Elephas maximus indicus: one gene and its partners. The protein of the gene in region 1 interacts with the protein of each later gene in a biochemical or structural test. Links are inferred from orthologs where the notes say so. Each region holds a gene or a part of one and is shown on either strand. Other genes may lie near its edges.

Region 1 (6,872 bases):
CTTCTCAAGGCAGAAGTGCGGCATCTCAGCAATATAAAAATACCATGGGCGGGATATGTGTGCCTGCAAAATCTGCTTTCTAAATTTGCCTGCAGATATCTTCAACTCATTTTCATTTAATCTTCCCAGTAATTTTCAAGATCTTCTATCACCCTGGCACAAGAGAAATGCTCAAAGCTATAAATACTTTGCCAAAAGATACAGTCTAAATATAAATTAATGGAATCAGTCAGTTAATGAAGAATTGCACTCTGGTCCATACAGGAGTAGGAAGCTGCTCCTTTACAGGCATGCGTACTGTTTAGAGCACTCTTTAAAAGGAAATCCTCTGTCCTGCGTCCCTCTGTCTACATTCCTACTCTTCAAAGGACTCTACAGAGACTTTACAAATTGTTTTCTTGGCTGTTTGCACCTAAATCAAACTGATCACCTGCGGTTGCCAACCACGTGAGTTGAGAGTAGAACCGTGTGCCACAGGGTTTTCAAGGGCAGAGTTTTCCGGAGATCCCCAGGCCTTTCTTCTGAGGCACCTCTGGACGGACTCAAATCACCGACCTTTCAGTCAGTAGCCAAGTTCGTTAACTATTTATTTGTACCACCCCAGGGTCTTCAAATCAAACTGACAGGATACTTTACAAACTTCTTGTTAAAAATCTTTGGTATCTCAGAGGATTAGAACCACTAAGTTTCCTGTGCAGCTTCCATATGCAGTAGTGCAAAAGTTACTGAATGTATGAAGAAAAGGAAGAAAAAAAAAAAAGACATTCTTTTCCATAAAATCAAATACTACGACTTGAAGCCCTTTAGAAATGAATCCTTCTAATCTGCTAGCATTTCTTTTAGGAGTAAAAGTTGTTTCCAAAATACACACTCCTACATCCTTAAGATGTGCACAGATCATAATCAAATCTCTAAGTAACTTAAACCACACAGCAACAGCACCCTTCAGGCCTCGGAGATGTATAAAAAAGTCTGCCTCCTAAACTGAATAGCTCCCAATGCTATGTTTTTGAAATTTGCCTGGCTTTATGTTTTTTCCTGTCTCCTCCCTCGCTGTCACTTAAACCATGCCCCTTGCTATTGTCAGGGACTGGAAGGAACTCCTTCTTCCCTTTCTAGTCACTGATGACAGATTGTTAAGCTCCAGTTACCACTGTATGTAAAACCAGGAAACGGGATAGTATGGAGGTTGGGTTCCTCAATCAGCCAGCCTCCACCATTCTTTCCAGTTTCTACAGGGCAGCTGCTGTGACAAGACTCTGTGGGTGAGGGCCAAAGAGATTCTCCTAGAAATAAAGAGTCCTGATGTTTCTGTGTTAAATCTTGCCATTTTTTTCCAGCTAATCAGGCCATTTGACCCACCTGAGAATGCGAAACTACCTTCCTGAATAGCTGTAAAAGATGAGGTGCAACTATATTTCACAGAGCTTATGACAATCACAAGAGGGTACAAGCCTAAGGATGAAAAAATGATCTTAAGTGTTATCCAGGTGACCTGGAATTTCTATCTCCTCCTTTCTCTCCCACCACCCTTTACTTCCCCATACGTAGGGTCAGACCCAACTCACAATTAGGTCAAAATCTTTTCCAAAAGCCTACTTCAGAGGATGCTAAGAGGACATCTTTAACAACCACCTATGCCAGTAAAATGGCTGGCAGTTCAAATCCGCCAGGTGCTCCTTGGAAACTCCATGGGGCAGTTCTACTCTGTCCTATAGGGTCGCTATGAGTCTGAATCGACTCGACGGCGCTGGGTTTTTTTTTTTTTATGCCGGTTAAGGAGCCATACAGCACAAAAAAGGTACTTCTCATTTAATGTCAAACTCCCAACTGAAAGAAATGTCTGTTTCTCTCCCAACTACCTCTAACAGATCTGCATTTTTATTTCCCTTCACTTCTACTAATACCATTATGAAGGCTGAACGGGTCAAAGGGAGAGTCCCTATCACGGACAATGTGGACAAGGATAGTCTGTGAAAAGCATGGCAAATCCAGAATGGCTGAGGTCTGATCATCTGTAAAGTAGAACGATAACAACGCTCAGGAAGGTGTGTGCAAAAAAGTGTGAAAAGCCTGATCTGTGATTAACAGCCAATTTTAAATCCAGACATATCAAGGCAAAATTTAATTAGAAAAATCTGAAAAAACTGATTCAATGCTCTCAAGCCAAATTAATATACCATTGTAAGAACCTGCACAACAGATTTTTTTTTTCCCTTGGTTGGGTTTACTCCTATGGCCCTTTGACTCCGGAGATCACCTCAGCAGTTGATGGCCCATATTACATTTTCCTGACGTGAATAAGAAAAGCCAGACTGTACCTTTGTTGAGATTCAGGCCTGTCTGGTTTTGGGTACAGACAGGTCAGCAGTTGAAGAAGTCCGAATGTCCTCTTCATATTGTGCAATCAGCTAAACACCATGATTTTTAAAATCCAGAACCCTAGAGAGCACAGAACTAGTTTCTGCTTTCTACTAATTCTCTCTCACTGATGAGTGGTGGAGTGTAAGTCAAGCCAGCTATTATCCAAACCAGTGATTTTAAATCTCTCTGGAGTAGCAATTCTGAGTATCTGAGAATACCCCCACACGAGCAGCATATTTCTAATGCTGACATTATATTTTTCAACATGATATTTAGGAAGACCAGTAAAACTCTACAATGTGGCACATCCAGGACTGAGGACCTCCACTAGGAGGTTACCAGAAGATCTTAGTGCAAGCAAGATAAGAACCTCTGACCAACGTGGCCGATGGCGATGACACCACAGAGCAGTAGCACTTTGTTAACCCGTGGAGAATGTCAAGGCAGAAGACCACAGGATCAGTACACCATGCAGTGACCTTATACTCCCTCAGACACACTGCTGGAAACACCAGGACCAGTCGTGCACACAGCAAGTAGGAAAAAGTGCTGACACTAGTTCTGAAAGGAGAACTGGGACTGACAACTCCAACACCAGTGGTGACATCAACTGTGCAGCTCTTAACAGAAACTTCTGGGACCACCCAAAAGCTTTTGAAATTTCCTCGTTTTCTGCCAGCCATTTCTTGTGCAATTCTGCTCAAGTCATTTAAAACAGCAGTTTGCTTTTCCTTTCGATGAAATGGGGAGTGTGCCACCAGGCTCCGAGGTACTGTCTCAAATAATTACTTAATGTTTTAAGTACTGTATAATTGTTAAGCCTTATTAACAAAACTACCATTTTCCATGCCGTAACAACCCGGATTGTGCAACAGGAAAGCATGAGGTCAGCTCTGCTAAAGAGACTGCCTAGACTTTAGGAGCAAATTGTTTTACAGGTAGGTTAAAGATTCGCCAGCTGCGAAAGAGGTATTCTTATCTACTCCCCAAGACATTCAAGGAAAAAGTCCTAAGGTTAAAAAAGCAAGGATAATTCAGTCCTCTAAAGGCCACAGGAGCCTCGACTGCCGATTTACTCAGAAGGCAGCTCCCTGAGCTTGGCATCCTTTAAAGTCTTCGCATCTCCTAGGCTACGCCGGGTTTGTCTTAGAGGTCTACAGATCTCACTCACGTGAAAGCCGAACCTCCATTCGGCAACAGAGGCAAAGCCCAGGGCCCCTGCCCTCAGGCAGCTCCCAGCCGCTCCTCCCCTCCCCCAGCACCCGCCAGGCGAACTCCGACTCCCAGCTTCTGAGCAAACAGGAACTGGAGGCAGGAGGCCTAGGTTCAAACCCTAGCGATCTGTGACCTTCACCGAGTCACGGAGCCGATCCAAGACTCAGTTTCCTGATCCCTCATAAACCTCGAGGCTTATAAAATTTCCTCTCCAGAGGTCGGCACCCGGAGGCGCCTGGAAGGGGCCGGCTAGACGTTCATCCGTCCTTGGGAGACCACCGCGCCCCGAGCCCTAAGCGCCCCGCTTCCTCCTCCACCCTGCCAGGGCAAAATGACTCAAACGCGCCGGCTCCAACTTCCTTTCCCTGCGCCGGTCACCGGCGAGCGAGTCCCGCTCGAACAAGCAGTTCCCGAGCAGAGGAGGAAGCAAACCTCTCGGCTTCGAAGGCGGGGAGGGCTCCAGAGAAGGAGCAGGAAACGAAGGCTTTTTAAAGGAAAAGCCCGACCTCCCGGCGAGGCCAGGACCGAAGCCCGCGCCTCCGGATCTCGGGACCGGCGAGGGGGAGGCGGCGAGGGTGCCGGGCGAGAACGCGCGGGAGCGTTCGGGGTAGCAGAGGCCAACAAGGGGGACACGGGAGGCGCCGACCAAGCCCTCCGCGCCCCGACCGCTCGGCCCAGCCCCAAACCGCCCGGCCCTACGGCCTCGCCTGCCTCCGGTCCCGCCGCCGCCGAAGGGGCGAGACACGCGCGAACCCCAGGGCTAGCCCCGCCGCCTGCCCGCACCGTGCCCCCCGCCGTCTCACCCCTCGGCGGCCGGGCGGCTGCTGCTGCTGCTACTGCTGCTCCGAGCCAGGCGTTGGTTTCGCTCCCACAAGATGGCGGCTCTGACGGCGGCCACGTCAGTGCCTGCTGCCGCGGGAGACGCCGGGTAACTGGGGCAGGGACATCGCAGGCCACGCCCACACCGCTCCGGGTGCGCATGCGCGGGCCGCGCGCGGAGGCGGAGCCGGCGGGCGAGCAGCGAGGGAACGGCGCCCCGCCCCTGGCCGGTCCCGGTCTTACGGGTCCAGGTGCCTTAGCGGTCCACGCGATCGGACGGGCAGTGGGCGCGCTGGGCGCCGGGCCAGCTGCGCCTCTCACCGACGTGGAACCGGGGCCTGGAGCGGTGGGACGGGGCCAGGCCCTCCTGTCCAGTCCCTCCCGTCCGGTCCATCGCCGGCAGAAGGAGCCCACCTCCCTGCGGCCCGCGCGCGGCATCGTGGGGGGCCCCGTGGCCACCACCAGGCGGCCACACACAGAAAAGGGGGTTTCCAGGGAGCTTTCAGGCCTCCGGCGTCCTCCTCCTGCAAACCGGAACGTTACTGGACGCCGTCCAAGGGCCTGGCAGAGACCAGAACAAACGCGCTTGTCCCTGGAGCTGACCTGCGGGAGCACCGTCCTATATGGAAGAAATAAATGATTTACTGAGTCCGGTAGTACGGGGTCAGCAGGGCAGGAAAGCCAGTGGCACGAGGGAGAGTGATTGCAGGGGGGTGGTTGGGTGACCTCTAATGAGGAAGGGACAGACTTGACGGTGAGGCTTGGAGGAGACATTTCCTGGGGAAGCCTCCCTGAACCGATCACTCCCCCCAGTTTCTCAGGGTGCAGGAATCTGGCTCTGGCCTCCACTGTGAGGCTCACTTTGGCCTCCAGCTGACCCCTAGGGCTACATCCTCCCATCACCCTCATGTGACTTTGAATCCCCCGCGGTGGGTGCTCCTCATTCCAGAAGCTTTAGTGGAAATGCAGGGAAGCTTTCCAGCCCAGTGCCCTAGGTGTTGTGGGTGGCCAAAAGTGGAGCCTTCACTTGGGTCCTGGCATAATCACTCCGTGGCGAGTCCAGGGGCCTGCCTGATGAGGCGGTCAGCACCAGAGCCTGCAGAGCAACTGTGGCCCGGCAGACAGCCTCCTGTCCCCAAGTGCACCCATCACCCACCTGGCAAAGGCGGTGTGGCCTGCTCGCTGGGCTGGCGTGGCCCGGGTCTCACGATGCCAATGCTGCCATCACCCCAGACAGCAATGACCCTGTGACCCACCTGTCTCCAAATACTGCTTTTCTCCTCCTTCTGAAATAATGAGAACCCAGGCCCCCATAGACAAGTCCCTGCTCCAGCCCCCAAAACATGTCATCTGTGGAAGAGCCCACGGCTCCCCTGCCTGCAAGCGCCACCCCGTTCTCTGCCTGGGACACAACTGCCATCACACTACCAGCTCAGATGTCACCTCTGTCAACTGCTGTGGGGTTGTCTGTTTAGGGGTCTCTCTCCCATTCGGACCTATAACCCATTACCACTGAGTTGGTTCCAACTTATATGACAGAGTAGAACTGCCCCGTAGGGTTTCCAAGGCACTAATCTACACGGAAGCAGACTGCCACAGCTTTCTCCCTCAGAGTGATTGGTGGGTTTGACAGGGGTTAGCAGCCCAGCACTTAATTACTGTGCCACCAGGGTTCCCCTCTACAAATACTCCTGTGAAGTGCTCCTGGGTCTGCATTCCCAGGGAGGGACATGGAGGTTCCCTAGAACTGCAGTGGTCATGGCTCTCACCCCAGGGAGCTGGCCTGTGGCTGGTGTCTCCCACAGTCATCCTAGAGATCCTAGCCACATGTGAACCTTGTGATCACAACTGCTTCAAAGCTGAGGAACCGAGGAAAGGAGCAGTGAGGAGACAGACTTAGAGGTGGCAGTACCTGAAAACTGGAGCTCACCTTCCCTTTTCTTTAAAAAGAAAAAAAAAAAAAAAGTGAAGGCTATCATACATAGGAAGGAGTGTGTGTAAGATACACACAGTTTTAAAAATAAATGAATTCCAGGTTAAGAAATGTAACTTCCTCCCAAACTCGGCCTCCTGGTTTTGCCCCCAGGGCAAGGGAGCTGTCTTCAGGTTAAAGCAGGCACACCAGGGGAATAATTCCAAGATCAGGAAGTGTCAGGCAGTTATTTAGCGAAACTAAGGCCCAGGTGCTTGCCCAAGTTGACAAGGGAGTTAGGGCTTCCGTGTCCCTCTTGTGTGGGACTCCCAGGATAGAATCTCTTCAAGGTGGGGCCTAGAGTGGGTGCCTTCTCAGCCTTGGCCAGGAGGCGGCGCAGAGCACAGGCCCTGGGGTGTCCACATTCCGCAGCCACCTTAGCTGATAACTCAACAGCTTGGGGAGATCCCAACCCAGCTTCCCTTTCTGACTAACCTGCCGGGCCCCTTGCCCCTGACAGATGCTCAGAGCAGTCAGGGCTGAACAGGACAGCATCCTGAGG
Region 2 (6,872 bases), on another chromosome or scaffold:
TTGTAAAAAAAAATTCTCAAAACTACCTCCAACACAAAATTCCTTCCATGACTCCCCTCTGGCCTGTGATAACGTTCAACCTCCTTAGCCTAGCGCCTAGCACATGGGGCCCTGCATGATCACACGCTGCGGATTCCCCTGGACTCTTCTCTGACCACGCCTCCTCACGCTCCAACAACAAGCAATCCTGCTGGTTCCCAGACACGTCAGGCTATTCCTGTCTTCTCTGCTCGGACAGCTGTCTCCATTTTCTTTGTCTTGCTAAGGCTAACCTTGGTGTTCCTGCCTTCTGGAAGCCTGTCCTGACATCCCCACGCTGGGCCAGACGCTCCTCCTCTGGGCTCTTCACTCTGCATCTATCGCTAGTGTGGCAAGTTCACACTGTTTCATGACGGAATCACCCACTCAACTAACTGGAGGGGAAACCAGAGAATCCTGTGTCATTCCCAGCATTAGACCTGGCACACAGTAGGTGCTTAGAAAATGTTTACTAAATGAATGAATACATCAGAGAGACTTGAGGAGTGCAGAGAGAACAAAGGGAGCTGATGTACGGGAAGGGGATTAAGGTCACAGGAGATCAGAGAGGTCAGGGGTCAGAGGAGTTTGGAGGTCAAAGGGGTTAAGATCCGAAAGATCAGATCAGAGCGATCAGCAAGCTTAAAAAGGTCAGGGAGATGACAGAAGTCAAAGGGGGTCAATGAGATCGGAAGGGTCATAGGAGATAAAAGAGAGGGTAAAGGAGTCAAAAAACACCGCGGGGGTCAAGACATGCTCAGAAGGGATGTCAGTGTCTCACCACCGGGCCAGGGACCCAGGCCGGGGCGGAGCATAGCTGTCATGCTGGTGCAGCTGTAGGAAGTCTCTGCCTGGGCCCTGAGCCAGCTCGGTGATCTCCTGGCCCCACCACCGTGCCTGCCGGTAGCTGCTGCACTTGAGAATCAGGGACCTGGACAGGAGCAATGAAATGGAGCACTAACCCTCCACCTCCATGCCTCTGGCCTTGCCCTGAGACCTCCCCCCTTTGACTAGCACTTCTTTCCCACTTCCTGTCTTAGTCCCTGACTCACAACTCCATAGGGACAGGGCACATACCTGCCGTTGCGTATCCAGCACCTAGTATGATGCCAGACACTTAGGTTCAGTGAATGAATGGAGTTCCTTTTTGTCTTTATCAGCCCCTCTCCCAGGCTTACATTCAAACCCTTTTCTCTGAGCCTGGACTTTAAGAACAGTCCCAAGCATCTGGCTGGCCGAGCTCCCTGGTAGAAACTTTCTTCTCTTCCATGGTCTCTCCCACTCAACAACCCTCAGGGCTCTAGGCCTGGCTCTCCACTCCCCAAGCGGCCTTACCTGTGGGAGGTGTCAATGCGGACCCCATACCGTGTCTCTGTGCTCCTTTTCCCCACTTGCACCTCGAAGCCAGGGTCGAAGAGCTGGACAAATGAGATGACGCCGGTCTCGAGGCACATGTACAGCAGGAAGGAGTCCTTCACCACCAGCCACCTGGAGCGGAAGGGCTCCATCCGTTCCTCCCTGCCCTCGGATCTCCTTCCTCACCCCCACCCAGTGCCCAGCCGTGCAGCCCAGCCCTCACCTCTTGGACCAGCGATAACAAACTTGGTCTCGGACACAGCAGGTGAGGCCAGGAACCCGGTGGCCCCCTGAGCGCTTGCGGATCACCCCCTCCCTGTAGGGAAAATCAAGAAGAGATACTAGATGAGGAACTCAAACCTCCCAACCCATTCTGCACTGCATTCCCTATTCTCAGGGCAGGGAGAGATCCTGAAATGTTTGCAGATGGCTGGGTGAGGGGTGTTAGACACTCACAGTCCTTTGGAGCCAAGGTCTGTGATAAAGGACAGCTGACTGACTTCCAGGAACTCTGTCTGCAAAAGAAGGCAAAGGCTCAGAGGAGAGACCCTGGCTCTCAGTCCCTCAGACCCTACCAACCCTGGTCCTTAGCTCCCTTGGTAGTCTGATGATCCTTCCTAGCTCAAATGGACCCAGGCATCCAGTCCCAGGGCCTTACCATGGCGTGATAGTTGCGGTAGAAAGACATGGCCAAGAGGCGGTTGAGATAATTCTCTAGGTACTTCTGAAGCGGGGATGGAGGGAAGAGAGAGAAACAGATGGGACCAGAGCCATTTGCACACCAAACCCCTTCCTAGAAGACCTGGTGTCTGATCTCACCTGTTTGCTGGCTGCGTGTCTGGCGGAGCCCTCAGGAACCGCTCGGGGCAGAGAGGGAATCTCTCTGTTGGTGGCCTCTCCGGCTGGAGCATAGGCAACAGCAAAGCTGTGGAAGGGATGGGGTGAGGGTCAGGTAAGAGCTAAGGCCTGGGTGCCTGGGCCTCTGGAGCACTGGGTGGAGTGTTGGGGGAGGGCAGGAAGCCTAGAGACTGGCAGGAGGGAGCCCCCCTACCCTGGGAATGGAGACAAGAGAATGCAGGAGACTGCCAAGGGCATTTTGGGCATTGAGCCCGGCCGAGGTATTGGCACAAAACCATGGGCAGGGAGAGCGGAGCATGGAAGGTTTTCTGGCAACCAGGGTGAGGAGGGGTGCCTGGCGGCCAGAGTTGGGAGGAGGAAAGGTTGTGGCTGGGGTGAGAGAGGCTTGAAGAAATCATGAGGATGGGGAGTTCGTGCTTCTATGGGGTGAAAGGCGCCTGCCTTGCACAGTAAGCACTTTGCTCCTTCTCACCGCGCCAGAGGGAGCAGACTCATCAGAACTTTGTGTCTCAGGAGGTCCCGGTGCAGCTCCTGGAAATGGCGGAACTTCTTCTTTGTTGTCCAGGTAAAGTCGCCATGAGTCAAGCGGACAGAATACAGGGTGCAGGTTCCCACCTGCAAAGAACTGAAGTTGGATCCCAGTCTTCCACTCTGCCAGTCCTCCCTTCACCCGCCTCCTGGTGCCAGCCTGGCCACCTTGGATCCACTGGTGTATCTTTCAGTGCCCACCACCTGGGCTGTGACAGGGACTCCAGGGGCGAACACCAAAGGGTGCATTTTCAGAGGCCGAAGGTCATAGATGGCCAGAAAGGGGTGCATCCGGTCAGCTGGGTGGAAACAAAATGAGAGTGTCCATCCAGGAGGCCCCAGTCCCCTTGTCCCCCACTCCTTGAGGGCTGTCCTCTCTGTGTACCTGGGTCCTCTCCCTCCCTCAGGGTGTCCACTTCATCGGGCTCCATCTGTAGCTGGCTTGGGTCCAGGTCGCCCCCAGTGGAGAACAGGCTCTCTGGGGTGGCCATCATCCTAGGAACATGGGGAGGCCTCAGGCAGGTGGCCTGCCTGGAAGAACCCTGCCCCCTATGCCAGCCCCTACGGACCACCATCTCCCACAGGTCTTCCTCTTCCCCACTCACCTGGCTCCCGCTGAGCCCCAGCCTCTCTCTGATTACGGCCGGATCGGTCTGCAACGAACCTGACGAACCCCCTTGACCATCCATCCCCCTACCTCAGTTCTGCATCCTGAATCCCTCAGCCCCGCCCCCCGCCCCGTAACTAGAGAGCCAATGGGCACTGGGCCAGGCCCGGGTGGCCCCGAACTGGGACAGAGCAGAAGCCGGGGCAGGAAGGACCCTGGGTGTCAAGTAGGGTGGGAGACCAGATAGATCCAGGCGGGAAGGAGGAAGTTACGCGCTCCCGATTCGGGAGAGAAACCCCGAAATCCGAGTGCGGCTGCGTCAGGAGGCCCGGCAGTCCAAGCCCATCCCGTCCCCGTCCGATTTCCGGGCCCCAGGCCCCCGCGGCGCCCCTCTCCAGCCTCACCCTGGCAGCCCCGGCCGGCGCCGGCGCGGGTTCCGAGCGGAGGGAGCCGAGCGCAGCGGGCGGCGTAGCCCACACCCCAGCGGCCCGGGGCGGGGCCGGGACTCAGGGCCTGCCCTCGGGGGCGGGACGGCCCCCGGCCTCACCTCCGCGGGATTCTCGTCGGTCCCGTCCCGCCCCCGCCGCCCTCGGCCCGCCCGCAGGCCCGCGAGCAGCCTTTGCCCGGGGGCTCATTCTGCCCTGGGGGCCGCGCGGCCAGGTGGGTGCGTCCAGCTGGCTACTGTCCGCCGGTCTGTTCGTCTGTCCCGCGCCGTCGGTCCGAGCCGGGCCGGCCGCCGCCCTGTGGGCGCTCGGGGCGGTGCGCATTCCTCCGCTCGGGCGCCGGCCCTTCGGTCCTTACCATCCCGCCTGCACTGGCTGGAACCCTGGCAGGACGCGCGTCCGCCACGGGCGTCCGCTGCCTCCCGTCCCGGGCCGGCAACGAACTACCTCGGGCCTGGCCCAGCCAGTGTTTGTAGATAGAAGGAGTAAAAGACCCGAGCGATGGTGGCTACAAATTAATTAAGGTATGCATGCTTGCATTCACTGATCCATGCTTTCACCCAGTCACCAAACATTATTGCGCACCTGCTCACTGCCAGACACTGAGCGGACGGACAGTAGTGAGCAAGACAGCCGCCGAACCTGCTCTCCCGGAACTTACAACCTAGGACCAAACAGGAAAATCCTCATGTCCTAAAAGACAAGATATTTCAGTATCCATAAGAAGTCAGATTTCTTTATCCTTTTGATGGACATTTAGGTTGTTTCTAGTTTCTGTTATGAATAAAGGTCCTATGACCATTCCTGTACATGTCTTTGTGTGGATATATGTTTTCATTTCCCTTGGGAGTGGAGTTGCCAGCTCATGTAATAAATTTATGTTTAACTTTATGAGGAGCTGCCAAACTGTTTTCCAAAATGGTTGTTCTATTTTACATTTCCAAAATCAACGTGGGATAGTTGGAGTTTCTGGGGATCTCCCAGACTTGATCATGTCAGTCTTCTTAACATGAGTTAGCCATTCTAATAGGTGCAAAGTGGTATGTTGTGGTTTAATTTGCATTTCTCTGATGGTTAGTAACCTTGACAATCTTTTCATGTGCTTATTGGCCGTTTGTATATCTTCTTGTGTTAAGTGTCCAAGTCTTTTGGCAATTTTTTTTTAAATCCCATTATTTGTCTTATTGAATTGTAAGAGTTCTTTATATATTTTGGATACAAGTTCTTTATCAGACTTCTCTATTGCAAATATTTTCTCTCAGAATGTGTCTTGTCTTTTCATTTTCTTAATAATGGTGCCTTTTGAAGAGCAGAAAATTTTAATTTTGGTGAATTTGCATCATATTCTAACAGCAGAATATTGTTGTTAATTGCCTTCCAGTTGAATCCTAATCGTGGTGACCTCATGTATGCAGAGTTGAACTGCTCCACAGGGTTTTCAAGGCTGTGACCTTCCAGAAGCAGGCTGCCAGGCCCGAGGCACCTCTGGGTCAGTTCTAACTGCCACCCTTTTGACTAGTAGTCGAACGCTTAACTGTTTGCGCCACCCAGGGACTCCAGTAGAATATTACCCAGCAATAAAAATGAACAAATCATCAAATGATACAGCCAAGTTGAAAAACAGTTTGGCAATTCCTCCAAGTATTAAACATAGTTACCATATGACCCAGCAAGTCCATTCCTGGGTAAATACCCAAGAAAATTGTAAACATTATGCTAAGTGAAGGCCACATATTATATGATCCATTAATATGAAATGTCCTACATAGGCAGAAAGAAGATTAGTGGTTCCCAGGGGCTGGCGGGAGGGGGAGTGGGGAGTGATTGCTAAGGTATATGCGGCTTCTTTTGGGGGTGATGAAAATAGGATAAAACTAATGATGATAATTGTACAACTCTGTGAATATACTGATGTATACTTTTGTTAATGTTTAATACACACAACAACATGAATGAATTTTAAAAATATGCTGAAAGAAGCTGTTCACAAAAGTGTAATACGATATGATTCAATTTACCTGAAGTTCTAAAACAGGCAAAAACAATCAGTGGTGATACAAATCTGATCAGTAGTTACTTGGTACAAAACCCCAAAAACTAAACTCGCTTGCTGTGGGGTCAATTCCGACTCACAGTGACCCTAGAAGACAGGATAGAACTGCTCCATTGGGTTTCCAAGGAGCGGCTGGTAGATTCAAAACTGCCAACCTTTTGGTTAGCAGCTGAGCTCTTAACCACTGTGCCACCAGGGCTCCTTCTTGGTACAGGGAATGGGGAAAGGAGTGACTGTAAAGGGGCACATGGCGTCCATGGGTGGTGCAAACTTTTAACCCACTCGGCTGCTAACTGAAAGGTTGAAGGTTCAAGAATACCCAGAGGCTCCTCAAGAGAAAAACTGTTGAAAACCGATGCGGCACAGTTCTAGTCTGACACACACAGGATCACTATGAGTCAGAATCAACTATACAGCAGCTGGTTTTTTTTTTTTTTTCTTTTTAAGTAACTTGTTAAAACTCATGGAACCATACACTTAATATGTATGCATTAAATTGTATGTAAATTCTTCCTTCCGTAAAGTTAACTTAAAAAACAGAAAGCAAACAGATTTCTGTGTAAATTAGGCAGTACGGTATAGTCAGCAGTGGCTCCCGACCTTCCCCATATCATGGCACCCTTAGGGTGCCAGCTTTACTTGAAAGCATTTAGAGTTCCTGGGTGGGGTGCTCCGGACCCAAGGATCCCAGCCAAGTCTCTGGTCGCCCCAGACCTGGCTGAGGGGATCAGTGCCTGCCAGGGACATGCTGCTTGGGAAGCCCTGTGAGGTGGTCAACACAGGGGACTCTCGGGTCAGACTGGCCTCTGTTCATAAATGCCTGTATGACCTTGCATAAGCCAGCTAATCTCTCAGTGCCTTCCTTTCCTCATCTGTAAAATCAGGACAGCAATAACACTTACCTCAAAAGATCGTGCACATGATTAAATGAGATAGCATGTAAAAGTCCCTAGCTTCTACCTGGCAGAGCATAATTAATCAATGACAACTATCTTCATAAAAGGGGCAA
Region 3 (6,872 bases), on another chromosome or scaffold:
TGTTGGAGTGACAGGTTCTGTTCAGAGCTGGTGCCCTCTTTGCATCGGGAGAGCCCATGTCTCCAGGGCCGTGGGGAGAGACAGTTCCCTGTGACCAAGTTCTCCACCCAAACGTCAGGCCATAGTGGACTCTTGATGATTGGTGCAGAACGGAGGAGCTTCGTTCTGGGGCAGAGAGCACGGAAAGGCAGCGAACTGAAAGACAGTGCCGGGGAAATACTGCTGTGGCTGAAAGACCTTCCCTGGAAGATCCTGTGTGGTCTAAGGTGGATCAAATGGATTCTTCTACCCTGCAGCTTGGCTCCTCTTACGGCACAGCACAAAACCTGGGGTGGATTCCAGACAAAGGTACAATGACGGGGAAACCGAAGCAGTCCAGTATTTGAGCTCTAAGGGAATGCTCTTACCTCTTTCACCCTGGGAGCCATCGGGGCCTTAGATAACAAGCAAGATAGGTCATTATGGACCAGCTAATTGCATTTTATTAAAATTCATCACAATATTTGAAAGTTGCCATGGTCTTAAATAACGAGATTGGACCCCCAACTGAAACGTTAGAAGCCCTGGGCTCTAGCCCCGCCATTGCCCCTAGCAGAAATCAGGCATCTCCGAGCCTCAGTTTTCCTGCTAAAGACTTGGTTGACCTTTAAGGCTGCAGACCTCCAGCTGTAACACTTTGGACCTTTGCCAAATCTTAGTCATGCTCATTCACTAAAAAGAATGCTGGGTCCTGTGACCGTCTCGTGAATTGTCACTGAGTGTTTTATCGCCCTCGCTTTTGGTAAATCACTTGGCTATGTGAGCTGCAGCCTTTTTCTTGAGTCTGTGAGTTCTTTGAGGATAGAAACCTAACTTGTCACCGCCCAGCATGACAGTGAGTGCTCAGTAAACATTGGATGAGTAAATGAACAAAGAAAATGAATAAATGAAAATTTACAAAAAATATTGCCAGGTAATATTGAGATGTTATTTAGTGTGAGGCACTGGTAGTTCAGTGGTAGAAATCTCATCTTCCACGCAGGAGACACGGGTTCAGTTCCCAGCCAGTACACTTCACGTACAGCCATCTCTCAGTGGAGGCATCTGCATTGCTATCTATAATGCTGGACAGGTTTCAGTGGCGGTTACAGACTAAAAGAGACTAGGAAGAAAGGCCTGGCAACCTACCTCTGAAAATCTGCCAGTGGATTCTTTATGGATCACAGCGTTCTGATCTGTATCCGATCTTGGGGTGGTGCACAACCAGACAGCGTTCTAATCTATTGTGCATGGGGTTGCTGTGCGTTGGGGGTCAATTCTGCAGCAGCTAACAACAGCAACGTCAAGTTCAGTAATACTCACAAATGTGTTCCTCCCTTCGTTGTCAAGAAGACAAAAGGGCATTGTAGGCAGGAATGGGCACGGGGAGTGTAACCCCACGACCCTAGCTTCAGGTTCCATTGCTGAGCAGGGCAGCTTTGGGGGAAGTGCTCACACTCTCTGAGCCTCTGCATCCTGCTGACCCACTGGGCTCTAGAAATGCTCTTGTGGGTAACTACCTCTGGGCTCCCTGTTAGCGCTAATGTGTAACTTGGTTGAAGGTGGGGGGTAGTTCTTGTACCTCATCAAGGAAGGCTTCTTTATTGAAATTCAGAAAGTAAAGTGACCTCTCCTGTGTCTCCACCCATAACTGAGGACATTTTGGAGGGACTCTTGCAACCCTGTGGTGGTAGAAATTATGTTGTCAGAGTAGAGACCACTGAGGGTAGCCAAAACATGTTTCAGAGTATCTGTTTAAAAATAAGCCACAGTCACCAAGCAGTCTTTCTGAGGTATCTAATTAAAGAACCAAAAAAAAAAAAAAAAAAAATTGCCATGAAGTCGATTCCGACTTACAGTGACCCTATAGGACAGAGTAGAACTGCCCCATACGGTTTCCAAGGAGTGCCTAGTGGATTCAAACTGCTGACCTTCTGGTTAGCAGCTATAGCTCTTAAACACTACACTACCAGGATTTCCTGTATGTAATTAGACCTGAATATTTAACTCTGAGATAAAATCTAGATTCCCTAGGCTATAATCTCTTTCATAGGAAATCTTATCTGATCCATCTTTATATCCCTTTCCCTGCCATGAACACAGTGAACAAAAAAAACCCAAACCCATTGCCATCAAGTCGATTTTGGCTCATAGCGATGCTGTAGGCCAGGGTAGAACTGCCCCATTGGGTTTCCATGGAACAACTGGTGGATTTGAACTGCCGACCTTTTGGTTAGCAGCCAAATGCTTAACCACTACCTCACCAGGGCTCCGTAGGTGTTCTATAACTATTTGTTGAAAGATGAAAGAAGAGAAAATCAGTCCTTGACAGTCTGGCTTGCGAACAGCGCATCCTGAGCGACGCTTGGCCTGGTTTCACCTTGCCATCAGGACCATCCCTAGAAACAGCTTCTTGACACAGTTGTCGGCGTTCCCAGGCTTAGAGAAGGACATATAAGTGTCTGGTTTGATTAACAGACGTGGTGTTCATGACATTTTTCTCTAGGAAACGTTTATACACACTCACAAACAATAAAGCCATGTTCAGGACATCATGTGGGGCTGATGTCGATCGACTGTATACACACATTGTGCTGTATCAGATAATATCCAGAACCAGCAGGTGTTAGAGTGAAGAGAGTGGGAACATTTGCTGGAGAAGCTGGACTTTAAATATTCATGGCCACTAGTTCGTGCTTACACAGAATGCCTGGCACAGACTGTATTAACTAACTTAGTCCTCACACGGAGTTCTGTGTTTAGGCACCATTTTCATCCCCATTTTACAGGCGAAAAAACTGAGGTGTCTAGAGATTTAAGTAACTTACCTATAGCCACTGCCTAGTACGTGGACACAGTTCCTGGGGCGGGGGTGGGGGGTGCAAAAGGTTAACATGCTCAGCTGCTAATGAAAAGGTTGAAAGTTTAAGTCCAACCAGAGGCACCACGGAAGAAAGGCCTGGCGGCCTACTGAAACATCACAGCCATTGAAAACTCTACGAAGCACAGTTCTACTCTGATGCACCCCAGGTCGCCATGAGTTGGAGTCCTAGGCAGCTGGCATTCTGCCTGTTGTGCAGGTCATTTGTTGGAGTTGTTGAGTTCCGACCTGCAGGGCTAGGAGAGAGGGGCCTCGTGTAAAACCGCAGCAGGTGACGGATGCCCTTCTGTTTGGTTTTGCAAGCCAAACGCGGGAGTTTTTGCGTTATTTGGGGCGGGGCGCCAAGCCAGGGGCTCCGGTCCGCGCGGCGCTGATCCACGCCGGCGCTTCGGTGCGCCTGCCGGCCGCGCTCGCCGCCGCTCCGCGCTCCCGGGATCTGCCGGCCGGCTGGGCGCGCGGCCCGGGCGCAGGACGTCGGCCCCGCCGCCCCGCCCCGGCGCGCATTTCCATTTTAAACCGCCGCCCGCCGCCCGCCGCCCGCCGCCCGCCCGCGGCCGCCGCACCGCTCGCGCGCCCGGTCCGGGGAGTGGCGAGGCTGCGGAGCCGCCGGACTGTGAGCGGAGGCCCGGCGATGCGCCCGGGCCCGCGCCGCGAACAATGAGACCGCGGGCGCCGCCGCCCGTCTGGGTCCCTCCGCGCCGCGGCCGCACCTGCGGACGAGAGCGGCCCCACGCCTGAGAGCCCGGCCCGCGGCCCATGGCTCGGGGCCCCGGACTCCGGTACTCTGGCCGCGCGGCGGCGGGCGCTCAGGGGCCGGCTGGCGCCAGGTGTGCCGTCCCCGCGCGCTGAGCGTGGCCTGGGCTGCAAGCAGGGGGCGTGCGTCCACTCCCGGGCCGGGTTCCTGCGCCCCGCCCGGCCACGGACCCGACCCCACGCGCACGGCTCCCGGGCGCGCTGGATGCGGCCGCCCCGCGCCGGCCGGGGCCCCAGGCGACATGTACCTGCTGGACGGCAGCGGCGAGCCTGCGTCGCCGCCCGCGGACGCGATGCCGCGCGGGACGCCCCCCAGGAAGACCGTCTACCGCATCTCCGTGACCATGGTCCGCAAGGATCAGCTGGCGGGCCCCGACCCGGGCCCAGCCCGGCGTCCCCGTCCAGCGCGCTCCCCGGACGCGCCCGGGCGGCTCGTGGAGGAGGCAGAGGAGGCGGCGGGTGGCGAGGACGCCGAGAGTGGCCGGCCCCACGCCTGGCACGCCCGCACCTTCCGCACTCGTAGCACCGGGCAGCTGGAGCTCGGGCGGCTCCGAGTATGCGCCCGTGGTCTCGAGCCCGCGGAGGGCCGCGCCATCAGCCCCCCGGCCGTGGAGCCCGGGGCGGAGGCGCCCAGCAGCCTCGACGGGGAGGTGCCGCGAGCCGCGCCCCTGCGGCGGAGCCTCAGCTTCCGACACCGGAGCGGCCCGGACCCTACGCGGGGCCAGGCGCCTGGCCGCGGGCGGCGCCACAGTAGCTCGGGTAGCCTGGGCCGCACGCCGGGTGCCGAGGCCGGGCCTGGTACCGCCGCGCCGCCCGCCCCTGAGAAGCGCAACACCCTGGACGTGGGCGAGGTGCTGAGCAAGGGCGCCGCGCTCTCGGAGCTGGAGCGCTGGGAGCGCAGCAAGAGCAAGCACCGCACTCTGGACAACAGCGACCTGCAGCGGCTGGAGCGTGCGCGCGCGGCCGCTGGCTCCGGAGCGGCCCCCGAGCGCCGGCTGCTGCGCTTCTTCAGCGGCATCTTCGCGCGCAGAGATGGCGTGCCCGCCGGCGGCCCGGGCGGCGGGCGGTCCCCGCGCAGCGGCCCCTCGCGGCCCCGCGGCTACTTCAGCAGCCTGCGGCGCGCCCCGGCTGATACGCACTCGTCCAGCGCCGAGAGCATCGACGGCTCTCCGCGCAGAGGTGGGCAGGGCTGGTGGGCCTGGTCCGGCTTCGCGGGGGCCTGCTAGACAGAGCACGGTGCGACCTGAGCTCCGCTAAGCCACCTGCTCTCCTCAGGTTGCAAAGCCAGCAGGTGGTTGCGCTGCACGTGAACTTGGGTGCTGTGGTTCTCCTCAGCAGTGCTGCAGCGGCTTGGAAGTTCTGGGCTGCCCCTTCCCCTTACCTGGGTGTGGTGTTGCCTTTTGGGGTTGTGTCGCCTCACCGACGGAGAGCTAGCTCGACTGGGGAGAGTACCTTGCCAAAAGGTGCTTTTTTTCCGCAGGTGCTGGCGCAGCCTTCCAATAGAAGGCCTGTGACCTCTCTAGGGGAGCCAGGCTGTGGTACCTGTGGGGCTGCCGCAGGGAGCTCCGCACAGGTGGTGCTGCGCGACCAGAATTCGATTTTCTTTTCTGGTGAGGCTAGCATTCATTTTAGCTGTTTTTTTCCACCTCCCCCCAGCCTCGTCTTGTTCCCCCAAATCTAGTCTCGTTGTCGTTAGTTGCCAGCGGACACTATTCAGACTCATGGCAGCCGCGTATGCGGGGTAGAACTGCTCCATAGGGTTTTCACGGCTGTGACCATTTGAAAGCAGATTGCCAGACCTTTTTTCCGAGGAGCCACCAGGTGGGTTCAAACTGCTAGCCTTTTGGCCAGCAGTCCAGTGCTTAACCCTTGTGACACTCAGGGATTCCTAGTCTCCTTCTAGGCACTGCCATCTGTGTGCTAGGCTGTGATCTCAGCAGATCCACTCTGACACCTATTGGCTTCCTGGTAAAGACAGTTCCCTCCAGTAGTCAGGACGGGTAGGGCATGTAGATCCACCTCCCCCACAAAGGAGTATCTGCATACAAGAAAAGCTAGTCTGGGTAGGGTTTGGCTTCCTGCAAAGGGCACCAGTGAACGGACATGAAAAGCAAAGCAGACGTCTGTTCTTGCATCTCCGTTCTCTGGCACCTTCTGACAGGGACCTTGCAGGAGGGCTCTGGGGGCAGGTGTGATAACATGCTTCTGCAGGATTCATTTCACCTGCTGGTAGCAGCTGGGGCTCAGAATTCTCCAGAAACTGCAAAACACAAAACCCATCTCACCACATACCTGGGCACCATCCTGGTGGCAGAGGTTGGGAGTGGAGAGGGGGATGTGGATTGTTAACCCCACCCCTCAGGTGTAGGGGAGGGAAGCCGCAGACTTGTCACCCGGCATCTCACTGAGGGCAGGTTATTAGTAACACCTCTCATGCGAATTAAACTGCCGATGCTGCTTTGAGATGAAGGGAAGTTGAGTGAGGGCTTTCGGTTAGACAGAGGCCTCCACTGGCCAGCTAACTACCTCTGGAGAGTATTCCTGCCGGGTCTCCCGGGTTAGCCGACAGCCCTGGTGTGTATCCAGGTATCGGCAACAACCAAATGCAGAGAAATCACTGCCCTTGCTGAAGCATTTTCCAGGTAAAACTGAAGACCCCGTGTCTTAATGTACTTATATTGACCCTCAGAGTGTTATGTTTGAGATCAAGTGGTTGAATGTCTAGTAGTAATAAAGCCTAAATTCATTTTTAATAGCAAGGATATAATATGAAGTATCACGTTACCAGGTTTGTAGTAGTTTGACCTGCTGTACATAGAAATGGGCTAGACTGTAATACTTTAAAGTATGCATCCCTTCCCAGTACGTTAGCATAAAGCGTCTTTCCCTTCCAGCATGCTCTTGGCGATACTAGAAAAAGGTAGGAGTTACTTTGGTTTGCATAAAGTTGCTACTGCCATCGGATGTGCTCAGAGGAGGCTCAAACCCACAGCTCCCGCTTCTGCCTATAATAGCAGGCTTGCATCTTTGCTGTCACGGACTTCGTAGAAAATAGTAATTAACTGCCTGGGTTCTAGACAGCACCCCTGGAACAGAGCGTACAACGAGCACACAGGTGCGTATTTAGAACACAAGCGCTCCATTGTGGTGTCTGTTGATACAGGTTAAAAGCATTTGAGGTTTGGGCTTTTCTCCTCTGGCCAAATGAATTGATAGCAGA

The links.
Region 2: the proteins of ARF1 (region 1) and PLD2 form a complex in vitro, tested with the Homo sapiens proteins (2 studies listed by BioGRID). The link is inferred for Elephas maximus indicus from reciprocal best matches to the Homo sapiens genes ARF1 and PLD2.
Region 3: of the proteins of ARF1 (region 1) and AGAP1, one has a biochemical effect on the other in vitro, tested with the Homo sapiens proteins (2 studies listed by BioGRID, with this or other methods). The link is inferred for Elephas maximus indicus from reciprocal best matches to the Homo sapiens genes ARF1 and AGAP1.

The regions. Positions count from the first base shown.
Region 1 is NC_064820.1:232,616,622-232,623,493, forward strand, and holds the start of ARF1 (ADP-ribosylation factor 1), read right to left. Parts: upstream 4,489-6,872; 5' UTR 4,383-4,488; intron 1-4,382. UniProt on the Homo sapiens protein: Small GTPase involved in protein trafficking between different compartments. Modulates vesicle budding and uncoating within the Golgi complex. In its GTP-bound form, triggers the recruitment of coatomer proteins to the Golgi membrane.
Region 2 is NC_064837.1:14,473,041-14,479,912, reverse strand, and holds the start of PLD2 (phospholipase D2), read right to left. Parts: upstream 3,336-6,872; coding exon 3,146-3,335; exon of another isoform or gene 3,060-3,145; coding exon 2,929-3,059; exon of another isoform or gene 2,848-2,928; coding exon 2,705-2,847; intron 2,327-2,704; exon of another isoform or gene 2,300-2,326; coding exon 2,194-2,299; exon of another isoform or gene 2,172-2,193; intron 2,099-2,171; coding exon 2,033-2,098; intron 1,890-2,032; coding exon 1,831-1,889; intron 1,691-1,830; coding exon 1,598-1,690; exon of another isoform or gene 1,507-1,597; coding exon 1,354-1,506; intron 950-1,353; coding exon 800-949; intron 1-799.
Region 3 is NC_064824.1:137,769,832-137,776,703, forward strand, and holds the start of AGAP1 (arf-GAP with GTPase, ANK repeat and PH domain-containing protein 1), read left to right. Parts: upstream 1-3,443; 5' UTR 3,444-3,894; coding exon 3,895-4,831; intron 4,832-6,872. UniProt on the Homo sapiens protein: GTPase-activating protein for ARF1 and, to a lesser extent, ARF5. Directly and specifically regulates the adapter protein 3 (AP-3)-dependent trafficking of proteins in the endosomal-lysosomal system.